3 linked regions of the Rattus norvegicus genome follow. The protein of the gene in region 1 binds, or shares a complex with, the protein of each later gene. Links are inferred from orthologs where the notes say so. Each region holds a gene or a part of one and is shown on either strand. Other genes may lie near its edges.

Evidence for each region.
Region 2: the proteins of S100a4 (region 1) and Anxa2 are in contact, whole or in part, in a crystal structure (PDB 5LPU), measured with the Homo sapiens proteins. The link is inferred for Rattus norvegicus from reciprocal best matches to the Homo sapiens genes S100A4 and ANXA2. Residues at the interface, in NP_002952.1 of Homo sapiens: Lys35, Leu38, Pro43, Ser44, Phe45, Leu46, Gly47, Lys48, Arg49, Thr50, Asp51, Ala54, Phe55, Lys57, Leu58, Asn61, Leu62, Gln73, Phe78, Cys81, Ile82, Met84, Met85, Glu88, Phe89, Phe93; in NP_001002857.1 of Homo sapiens: Leu13, Glu14, Pro21, Ser22, Ala23, Tyr24, Ser26, Val27, Lys28, Tyr30, Thr31, Asn32, Phe33, Glu36, Arg37, Leu40, Thr44, Gln69, Asp70, Phe73, Arg77, Arg78.
Region 3: the proteins of S100a4 (region 1) and Myh9 are in contact, whole or in part, in an NMR structure (PDB 2LNK), measured with the Homo sapiens proteins. The link is inferred for Rattus norvegicus from reciprocal best matches to the Homo sapiens genes S100A4 and MYH9. Residues at the interface, in NP_002952.1 of Homo sapiens: Leu38, Ser44, Phe45, Leu46, Gly47, Lys48, Arg49, Thr50, Asp51, Ala54, Phe55, Lys57, Leu58, Asn61, Leu62, Ser64, Gln73, Glu74, Cys76, Val77, Phe78, Ser80, Cys81, Ile82, Met84, Met85, Cys86, Glu88, Phe89, Phe90; in NP_002464.1 of Homo sapiens: Thr1906, Ala1909, Met1910, Glu1913, Val1914, Ser1915, Leu1917, Lys1918, Lys1920, Leu1921, Arg1922, Asp1925, Leu1926, Pro1927, Phe1928, Val1929, Val1930, Pro1931, Arg1932, Met1934, Ala1935.

Annotation. Positions count from the first base shown.
Region 1 is NC_086020.1:178,387,154-178,391,328, forward strand, and holds S100a4 (protein S100-A4), read left to right. Parts: upstream 1-1,375; 5' UTR 1,376-1,412; intron 1,413-2,208; exon of another isoform or gene 2,209-2,330; intron 2,331-2,578; 5' UTR 2,579-2,593; coding exon 2,594-2,734; intron 2,735-3,391; coding exon 3,392-3,556; 3' UTR 3,557-3,684; downstream 3,685-4,175. UniProt on the Homo sapiens protein: Calcium-binding protein that plays a role in various cellular processes including motility, angiogenesis, cell differentiation, apoptosis, and autophagy.
Region 2 is NC_086026.1:79,017,252-79,020,192, forward strand, and holds part of Anxa2 (annexin A2), read left to right. Parts: coding exon 1-12; intron 13-1,177; coding exon 1,178-1,271; intron 1,272-2,215; coding exon 2,216-2,311; intron 2,312-2,747; coding exon 2,748-2,806; intron 2,807-2,941. UniProt on the Homo sapiens protein: Calcium-regulated membrane-binding protein whose affinity for calcium is greatly enhanced by anionic phospholipids. It binds two calcium ions with high affinity. May be involved in heat-stress response.
Region 3 is NC_086025.1:111,228,464-111,231,963, reverse strand, and holds part of Myh9 (myosin-9), read left to right. Parts: intron 1-936; coding exon 937-1,149; intron 1,150-1,254; coding exon 1,255-1,467; intron 1,468-1,720; coding exon 1,721-1,882; intron 1,883-2,790; coding exon 2,791-2,919; intron 2,920-3,500. UniProt on the Homo sapiens protein: Cellular myosin that appears to play a role in cytokinesis, cell shape, and specialized functions such as secretion and capping. Required for cortical actin clearance prior to oocyte exocytosis. Promotes cell motility in conjunction with S100A4.

The sequences.
Region 1 (4,175 bases):
TTGCTGCTTCTCTTCTTGGAAGGGAAGAACATCTCTGCTCTTACCTGGAAGCTCAGGCATGTGCACACAGTTGGGACTGCTGTGGCAGGGGCCTCCTCAACTCCCAATAAAGAAATGTCATCTTGGCTTACTTTGGTTTTTCTGGTGGGACACACTGGGTCTTGGGACTGAGTCCTTGTTCCTTTATGCTCCTTACCACTGGAGAAAGAAGGCTTACCACTGAAGATGGACCCCCAAAGCATCAGACCCAGTAGAGATGTGCAAATCTTACTGTTCAATAGGAGGGTGGGGGCAACACAAGGTCTCATTGGATGAGACTGGAGGGTCTCTGTCTCCACCTCTCTGTCCCCTGTCTTGAACTAGAAGTCCTTATCTTGGGCTTTCTAGGAGAACAAGGGGCTCCTTGGGAGGTACTCAATACAAGGAGGATGCGGTTGTGGGACCCAGCATCAGACCCAGTAGAGATGCTCAAATCTTAGTGTCCAATAGGAGGGTGGGGGCAACATAAGGTCTCATTGGATGAGACTGGAGGGTCTCTGTCTCCATCTCTCTGTCCCCTGTCTTGAACCAGAAGTCCTTATCTTGGGCTTTCTAGGAGAACAAGGGGCTCCTTGGGAGGTACTCAATACAAGGAGGATGCGGTTGTGGGAGCCCAGAGTCAAACCCCCTCTAACCTTCACTTAACCCCTGAGTTTGTACCATATCCTTAGAGATTAATCCTGACTCCCTATTCACCTCTTTCTTCTCTAACTCTCTTCTCCAAGCTGAGCATTCAATCCCGAATGCTTCTGTCATCCCCAATACCCTTACTCAAGCTTCCATCCATGCATAAACCTCTAGGCCACACTACCACCTAACTCCATTATGATATTTCCCACTTAATACCTGGGGTGGTCCCAAGGTCCCTCCTGATTTGCTAGCCTCCACCCTGGATCTTCCTGATGTGACAAGAAGCTGTGTAGGCTGGAGAGAAGGGCTGACATTGTCCCACTGGCTGGGTCACCTCCTTAATTCCTCAGCCAGATAATTCCAGGGCAGTTTCCCATCTCTTGTCTATAACACCAGCATCTCCTTTTCTGTGCCCCACACCTCATGTACAGGTTGTCCCTTCTCAAAGCTTCCTAAGATTCTAGCTGAACTGCGGCTACTTGGTGGTATCCACCCCATCCAAGTCTCTGCCCTGCCCACTGGAGCGCACTCACTACTTGATTGTGCCTGCTAGGGAGCAGGAAGCCTAGCTCTTGGCTGGGCTGGTGGCTGGGCTGTGACACTTACCCGCATCGACCAACAGCAAGAGCAGTATCCATGTTCCCCCATCCCCTGCATGGGCAGGGCATGGCAGGGTATAAATAGGTCAGATTGTTGGGCTCTCCCCAAACCTCTCTGTTCAGCACTTCCTCTCTCTTGGTCTGGTGAGTCGTGTTGGCCTGATAGCACTGTTAGCAGTTTAGAGGCTGAGGCTAGGACAGGAGAAAGGGGGCGTACTGGGGGGAGGGCAGAAGTCTTTAACGGATCCAGATGAGAGATTCTGGTACGGAGGTGTGTGTGTGTGTGTGTGTGTGTGTGTGTGTGTGTGTGTGTGTGTGTGTTGCACAAGAATGAAAACTGAAAAACAAGCAGTATATAAATGGCTCCCGGAGATTCTGAGATGCTGAGGCTTGCTTGTATGTTGCTATAGTGTATGTTGGTGCTTGGGAGCCACTGTCATGGATAGGTATGTTGCTGGGTCATCCAAGCCAGTGTGTGGACACTCAGGTACAGGAAGCAAAGTGAAGGCATCAGCAGGCATTTTTGTTTTACGATGTTTAAATTACACTTATTTTATTTGTGTGTACGAGTGTATGGGTGGGGATGGGGCAAATGCCAAGGGGCACTTCTTGTGAGAGTCAATCTGTTCCTTCTAGCATGTGGGCTCTGGAGATCAAACTCAGGTCATTGAGCTTGGTGGCAAGCACCTCTACCTACTGAGCCACCTGTTCAACACCCACCTGTAGGCATTTGTGTTCATAGTAGTTCATAGCCCTATGAACATATAGCACCTAGGCCAAGAGAGCCTGGCTTCCCCACCCCCTCCCCTTGTACCCCAACCTCTGCCACTTCATCTCACTCCTACTAGGCAGCTGGGTTTTTTCCCTCACTGTAGGCCCCTGGGCAGGCAGCCAGCAGCCGCGCCCAACGCTGGGAGGGAGAAGAATGGGTCAGAGGCTGGAGCTTGTGGTTGAGTTGGGGAGTGAGTAAGCTGAGTGAGGGATGGAAAACTGCTGTTGTTGAGGCCAGGCCTGGGGGGGAGGCACAGAAGGCTGCTGGCATGAATTTCTAGAGTTTGAGTGGTAAGTTTTGCAAGTTTCAGAGCTTGAAGCACATATGAGCTTCTTGCCATCAGTGGGTACCACTCCTCTGATCTCCCTGGGAGTGAGGTCGGTCTCTGGAAGTGCTCTTAGAGAGTAGGTTGGAGTAGAGCACTAAAAACGGGGACAGACTGAGTGTGACTTGAGTGATGCCTAGCAACATATATCCAGCTCTCAACACACTGTTGGTGTGGGTTGGAGAAGGCTACTTTTGTGTCTCCTGCCCCTAGGTCTCAACGGTCACCATGGCGAGACCCTTGGAGGAGGCCCTGGATGTAATAGTGTCCACCTTCCACAAATACTCAGGCAACGAGGGTGACAAGTTCAAGCTGAACAAGACAGAGCTCAAGGAGCTACTGACCAGGGAGCTGCCTAGCTTCCTGGGGGTGAGTGGATCCTGTCTGTGTATTGCATATGTGATGCATCCCCAGGAGGAGGCTGGGGCTGGAGATATCTATCTATCTATCTATCTATCTATCTATCTATCTATCTATCTATCTATATCTATATCATCTATCTATATCTATCTATCTATCTACATATATATATATATATATATATATATATATATATATATATATATATATCTCTCCCTACTCCTGGCGCTTGGTATGGAACCACAATGAACCATCTACTTCACACCAGCCCCCCGTTGAGACAAGGCTTAGAATGAAGTTAACTGAAGTGGCACAGGAAAACCACATTAGGTAGTCAGTGTCTGAAAGCACAGCCTAGATCAGGACAGTCTTTCCGGTGATGTGCAACAGAAATCGAGTTTCTGCTTGTGAAGACATGATTGTGGAGGCACACAAATGCCTGCAGATCTTCCCCTCAATGACACCTTATCTTAGTTAACACCTCCTTGTCATGACAGTTACCTATAGACATAGTTAAAACAAGCGTGGGGAAGATGTGGTCACATCCTTTCCCAGCTAGCCCATGTGCTCATCTCACAGTTGAGCCCTGAGGCTAGCACGGTGTCTGCAAGCCTTCCTGAGCTCCTGGCTGGAGGTGGCGTCTAACTGTACCTCTTCTACCTCCAGAGAAGGACAGACGAAGCTGCATTCCAGAAGCTGATGAACAACTTGGACAGCAACAGGGACAATGAAGTTGACTTCCAGGAGTACTGTGTCTTCCTGTCCTGCATTGCCATGATGTGCAATGAATTCTTTGAGGGCTGCCCAGATAAGGAGCCCCGGAAGAAGTGAAGACTCCTCAGATGAAGTGTTGGGCCAGTGGGGGAATCTTCCATGTTGGCTGTGAGCATAGTGCCTTACTCTGGCTTCTTCATACATGTGCACAGTGCTGAGCAAGTTTAATAAAGAGTTTTGAAACTATGTCTGAGAGACTGGAGATTGTGGGTGGGTGGGTGGGGCTGAGGGAGGGTGGTGGCAGAGATGGCTGGAAGTTGACCTGGAGCTTTGTGGGGGCCAAACTAGAAAAGGTTGGGGAGGGGTGAGTGACTTATTCTGAGTTCATTACAAGTGTATATTTGTGTGTATGCGTGCATGTGTGTGTGTGTTTGTGTGTGTTCACGTGCTCCTGTACATGCAACAAAGCAAACTCTGGGAACACTAAAGGCAGAAACCACCAGAGGCTTGCCTTGAAAGGCTCCAGATGTGGGATGTTATCCAGCCCACGGTTCTCCCTCCTCTCTCTAGTACTGCCTCTGGGCTCAAACTGAAGTTGGGATGGAATTAAAGGTCACATCTGCTGCTGGTTGGGGTCTGGAGGGAAGACAACAGGCCTGCCTGAGTCATGAGGCAGGAGTCTTGAAGCCAGAGAAGGGTGGGGAGGTGGACTGGCATTCAGCCCTAACATTTATAG
Region 2 (2,941 bases), on another chromosome or scaffold:
CAGGATGCCCGGGTAAGTTCCAAGCTTCTTGGCTGAGTTTTACGTGGCGTGTGTATCTGGAGGGGGTTGTATCCCACACAACCATTTACTTATATACAACGAATGACCTCAAGCTAACATTTGTTATCTCTCGGATTCTCCAGGTCAGGGATGGAGACTGGATTGACCAGATAATTCTGGCTCAAGGCCTCTCATGTGGTTGTAGATAAGATGTTGGCTAGGGCTATAATTACTGAGCGCATGACCAGGTCAAAGGGAATCTTCCCTACATGGCTCATGTGTGACTTACTTTTGGCAAGAGATGTTAGCATACCTCCACACAGGCCTCCACAGACTGCTTGAATGTCCCCAACAACATTGCCCCTGGCTTCCCTAGAGTGAGTGACCCAAGAGGGATCCAGAAACCCTCATGCTCTCATGACTCAGTCGCAAGTGTCATACACTCTTGTCATACTCTGACCATTAGAAGTGAGTCCATGAGTCCAGCCCACAGCTGTGGGAGGGGTAAAACTAAGTAATGTCCTTTCCAAGGGAGAAATGGGCCTTTTAAAGCCTCAGCCCATCTGAACATAGAGCTTTGTCTCCAGGAACCATGTTTGTAATGCTGGGGTTAATTATCAGATCTGTACCCAGGTCCCATTGGCTCATTCAGGCTTTGATTGCATAGAAGTGCTAGGTCCTGACCTTAAACTCTTAGGGAAGCTGGAGCAGATGGGGTAGGCACACCAGGAGAGGAAGGCTCCCTGCTCCACTCAGTGAGGACAGAGGAAGATGACAGGGGCCTGTGACCTCCTCATAAAGCTATTTTAGATAACTGCGAACGAGGCGTGCCTCACTCAAAGGGGTCGGCGGCTCTGTTATCTCAAAGCAAGTCATAAGAGCGGCAGACAAAATCATGTGCCTCTGTTTTAAAATCTTATATAGTCTGGGGAGTGCATCGAGTGTAAGAGAAAGGCTTTTTAATAAATGCTAGAAGTGGGCTTTGTGGCCTAGGGAGATAGCTTAGTGTGGCCCCGGGAAGCCAAAAGTTTGAGCACACCTGCTCTATGTGGTACACGATGGGTCCCAGCTGCAGCACAGGCCTGTGCGCTCACATGTTTCTGGGAACGGGCTTTTGAGTAACGCCTGCTAGGGGGTTGTGTGGTTAACTTCTCCTGGTTGGTTGCATCTCTCACAGGAGCTCTATGATGCTGGGGTGAAGAGGAAAGGAACCGATGTCCCCAAGTGGATCAGCATCATGACTGAGCGCAGTGTGTGCCACCTCCAGAAAGGTGGGTGCTGTGCCAGCGGGGTCTCAGTGCCTGGAGGCTCTCAGGTGGCAAAGGCTGCAGTGAGGTGCAGAGCTCCCAGAGCAAGGCTCGTTCTCCACTCACTCTTTCAGTTTCCTTTATCAAACCATTTGGCCTCCTTTCTCACTGTGGACCCTCCGTCCCCAAATGTGTTCAATATTTGATATGTTAGCTTGTTTCACTGTGTGTGTGTGTGTGTGTGTGCGCGCGCGTGTGCGCGCGCGTGCGTGTGCGCGCATGTTCATATGAGTGCACATGTGTTTGGAGTGCATGTGGGAGCCAAGGTTAACCTTCGGTGTCGTACCTTTGAAACCATTGACCCCGGGTGGTTGTTTTGGTTTTTAGACTCATTGGCCTTGAGTTCAAACACTAGGCTAGGCAGCCTGGACAGACAGCTGCCACCCATCTGCCTCAGCCTTCTCAGCACTGGGATTACAAGCACACACCATCATGCTTGGCTTGTTTGTTTTTGTTTGTTTTGAAACATGGGTTTTGGGTTTGGGGGGCTAAACACGGACCTCAGGCCGTTTCCATGGCCCTTCCTAATTCCCCTCCTTACCTGAGGATCCTTTGCTCTCGCCATGATTATTGAAGTTCAGGACATGACCCCTGGCTCTATCCTGTTTCCCATGACATCCACGTAGATGGAGTCCAGTCAGGGCACAGAGGGATGGTTAAACTCTGTGGCCTAGGCAGAGCCATTAAGGATAGGAGCTAGACCTGGGTCATCTGGCAAGACAGGTACAAATCATCTCTAGTCCACCAAGGTGACCTCCAGCCCCTAAATGACTGCCAGCCCCTGGGATGCGTGGGGATCACCTTTAGGTGTTGGGTTCTTGTTTTCGTTGCTGCTGCTGCTGTCTGGTTGTATAGGCTGTCCGTGCGGCTCCGACCGGCACTTCTGACATCATTTGTCCTTCTCTTAGTGTTCGAAAGGTACAAGAGCTACAGTCCTTATGACATGCTGGAGAGCATCAGGAAAGAGGTCAAAGGAGACCTGGAGAACGCCTTCCTGAACCTGGGTGAGCAAGGGTGGCCTTTCCTTGCCGGCAGAGAGGGCAGAGACAGGAGTGAATGGCTATGTGTTTCCTTCAATGGGGACTTGGGAGGTGTGGTGACTTTCTGCAAGTCTCGGAGAGCTTTAGGATTGTCTGCAGATTTAAAGACATGAAACAGGCTTAAGTTGCCAGGAAGGACTAAGTTGCTGGAGAAGAGAGGGCTATAATGGGGACACTCATATATACACTGGGGCATCACTGACCTCTGCATCTCATGATTGAAGAGACCACAGTGGGTAGAACCTACTGGTTCACGAGATTCTGAGTTTTCCTTGGTCTTCTACATCCTGGATCCATGGGGCAGGCCCATTCTGGTCAGTGTCTTAGGGCCAGGGCATCATCTTCCTTCATGCATGGCAGGAAAGCAGCCTCACCCCTGACCTGTGTCTCCTTTCCACAGTTCAGTGCATTCAGAACAAGCCCCTGTACTTTGCTGACCGGCTGTATGACTCCATGAAGGTAAGGGCTGCTGGTCCAGATGTTCCATTTCCACTAGGCTCCTCCTCTGTCTTGGCTCAAACTGAATCTTCTTGACTAGTGTTTAGAACAGTGGCTCTCAACCTTCCTGACGCTGTGGCCCTTTAATACAGTTCC
Region 3 (3,500 bases), on another chromosome or scaffold:
GCCAGCCCTCCTTCCCCCATGGAGATGCAGACACTGGGGTCAGATGGAATAATAGTAAAAAAACAACTGGGTCAACACGTGGTAGACAAATCCAGTCCCTCCGCTGTGACTTAAAACTTCTGTTTGTCTTACACTTAGTCATTTAGTGTGTGTGCATGTATGCATGTGCTGAGGTCAGAGGGCAACTTGCACAAGTCCATCTTCTGTCATTTACCTGTGGAGCCATCTCCTGTCCCCATGTTTTTCCAGATAAAGTTTCATTGTATGTAGCTACACTTGTTTACATGCTGCCACTGGCTCCTAGTGTGATAAGTGGCAGAGCTGAATGGCTGCTTTGAGAGACTACAGCCTTCAACCTCTAAGTAATGTTCTTTATGAGAGGCCCAATCTGTGGAGCAGGTGAAGGTGGGCAGAGAACCTAGGAAGGCAGGGAGGTGAGGAATAGTGAGGGTGGGCCCCATAGAACAGGTACAGTGGTGCAGCCATCTTTGGAGAAGGACCACACGTGGGATTTAAGCTTTTGAGCACGGCTTTTCAGGAATGTGGGCATCCTCACTGGGTAACATAAATGAAGGACTGAGCAGAGAGATTGCAGAGATGTTCAGCTGCTAAGAGATGAGTTTCATTCCTATCACCCAGCAGTTCACAGCCACCTGTAACTGTGGCTCTATGAGGTCCAACATACTCTCCTGGCTTCTAGTGACACCAGCACATGCACATGTATGTGTACATGCACGTTTGTGTGTGCATGTGTGTGCACACACAGATGAAAGTCGTTAAAAATTTAAACAAAGATCAAAGTACAGTGTTACAGGAGTCCTTGCCGTCCCGGGAGCCAGCGAGCCCCTGGGTAGCAGCCTTGGGCCTGTTGGTCTGGGTCTGGCCGTAGGGTAGTGGTCTTCAGTCTCAGCCTCACAGCAAGACTTCTTTCCCTAGCTCCTAGCTGAGGAGAAGACCATCTCAGCCAAGTATGCTGAGGAGCGAGACCGAGCTGAGGCTGAGGCCCGTGAGAAGGAGACAAAGGCACTGTCACTGGCCCGGGCACTTGAGGAGGCCATGGAGCAGAAGGCAGAGCTAGAACGGCTCAACAAGCAGTTCCGCACGGAGATGGAGGACCTCATGAGCTCCAAGGATGACGTGGGCAAGAGCGTGAGTGCTGGGCTGGCGTCCTGGGTTCGGGGGAGCCTGGTGTGTGTGGTTGGAGCTCAGGGCCCCTAGCTGTTCGTGTCTGTAACTAACATGGGGCTCTGCTAGGTCCATGAGCTGGAGAAGTCCAAGAGGGCATTGGAGCAGCAGGTCGAGGAGATGAAGACCCAGCTGGAGGAGCTGGAGGATGAGCTTCAGGCCACTGAGGATGCCAAGCTCCGTCTGGAGGTGAACCTGCAGGCCATGAAGGCCCAGTTTGAGCGGGATCTGCAGGGCCGGGATGAACAGAGCGAGGAGAAGAAGAAGCAGCTGGTCAGACAGGTGCGTATGGCCTCCTCGCTATGGGGAGGGACACCAGGGACTGCATCTCTGTCCCCCTGTGCAACACCTGGGCCTCGGAGGGGCTCCTGGACCATTTTCCACTGCCTTGTTTCTCAGACTCTGTCTTAGGGCTCTGCAATTTTACTTTGTACTTTGTCTCGGGTGGCCCCATGGACAGCCCAGAACTGGTCTGAGCTCACCTGAACTCAGTGCTCAGCAGTGAGCGCTAAGCATGAGCCCTGCTGTTCCTCAGGTGCGGGAGATGGAGGCGGAGCTGGAGGATGAGAGGAAGCAGCGGTCCATTGCCATGGCTGCTCGCAAGAAACTAGAGATGGATCTGAAGGACCTGGAGGCTCACATAGACACAGCCAACAAGAACCGGGAGGAGGCCATCAAACAGCTACGGAAGCTTCAGGTGAGGCAGACCCAGGCTGGTCACAGATGGGGACAGGTAGAGGCTGGGAGTCGGGGCCTGTCTCACAGGTGAGGCTCGGGCTCAGAAGGGACACAGTAACAAGAGGGGGCTGAGTCCATTAAGTCAAGAGGAAAGGTAGCTGGACGTGCAGTAGAGTCAAGGATGGCGGCCACACACACTCAGGCTTCAGGAAGAGACCGGAGTGTTCAGTGATGGATGGTCTAAGCTGGTGGCTCTGAGAAGTGGCTCAGAGCTTGAGACATACACTTGGGAGCAGTTTTCACTCACCAGTGTGGTCAAAGACTAACATTAGTACAAACAGCTCTTGTGTGCCCATTCATGCCGAGTGTAGCAGCAGGAAGAAAGATTAACCATCACGTGGGCAAGGCTGTGAGCAAGAAGGTCAGCTTGCTGATGGCGTTTTTAAGAGTCACACATAACAGGAGTCACACTCTGCCCTCAGGGTGTATGCCATCGTGAGGCCTGTCTGCTTCAGATCAGGGGACAGGGGACCGAGCTCTCCGCTTCGTTGTTGCCTTACCTGGCAGGAAGCATACTTCGTGTCTTGTCCCTGCTTTTCCCTGGTCACTGACTGGACGTCATGGACGACACATTGGATGATGCCGCTGGCATTAGCTGCAAGCCAACAGGAAGTTAGAGCAGGCAGACGGGCCCAGGTTACACTGTGTGCAGGGGTCTGTGCCCTGAAGAGCCACCTTCTAAGTCTAGTCAGGAAGACAGACGTGCAGAGCCACTTGCCTTTGGTTACTTTTTTGCCTGTTTATAAAAAGGTTGGCTAAAACCATGCCAGGCGTAGAGCAGGTCACTGTTGGGGACATGGCCCCTTAAGGGGTCAAGACCCCGAGCAGGCGGAAGTAGTTGGCGATGCTGACGCCTCCTTCACACAGGCCCAGATGAAGGACTGCATGCGGGAGCTGGACGACACGCGAGCCTCCCGGGAGGAGATCCTGGCCCAGGCCAAGGAGAATGAGAAGAAGCTCAAGAGCATGGAGGCCGAGATGATTCAGCTGCAGGAGGTGGGCCAGCGGGGGATGCAGGGCCACTGCCTCTGGCCAGCAAGCGGCAGCCTGGGGCCTTTCCCTGTCCTTAGGAGTCAGCAGGGAGGGAAGGGCAGAAAGAAACTGAGCTGCACACCTTGGCATGGTGCATGGTGTGGTATGTTCATGTATGTGCACATCTGTAATGGGGAAGAGGGTGAGACGCAGCCTTCCATGTGGCTACAGACCCCGCCTCTCTTAAATGAATCTGTGACCCTCGAGTCCCCAGTTAATTTCACGAGCCAATGCTGAGTTGATTATGATTCTCTATCAACTGCGAAGGGCAAGGAGGGGCCTGAGTGCCCCCTGGGTGCTGTTTTAGTTACACAGGAACCGCGTGGTGGGGAGGGTGGGGTGGTGTTTCCAGGTCTGGAGGAAAGGGCCATCCTCAGTTCATGAGTGCTCAGTCAGACCCTCTGCCCTGGCATGGCTCTTTGCCCCTGCTGGGTCTGGGGTGACCCCTCCATTATCCCACCATGCATGGTGCTCTGGAGGCTTCCACAGCCCATCTGCTGCCCTTGGTGGGCACAGGACCCTGGACTCTAGCCTCCCTCATAAAC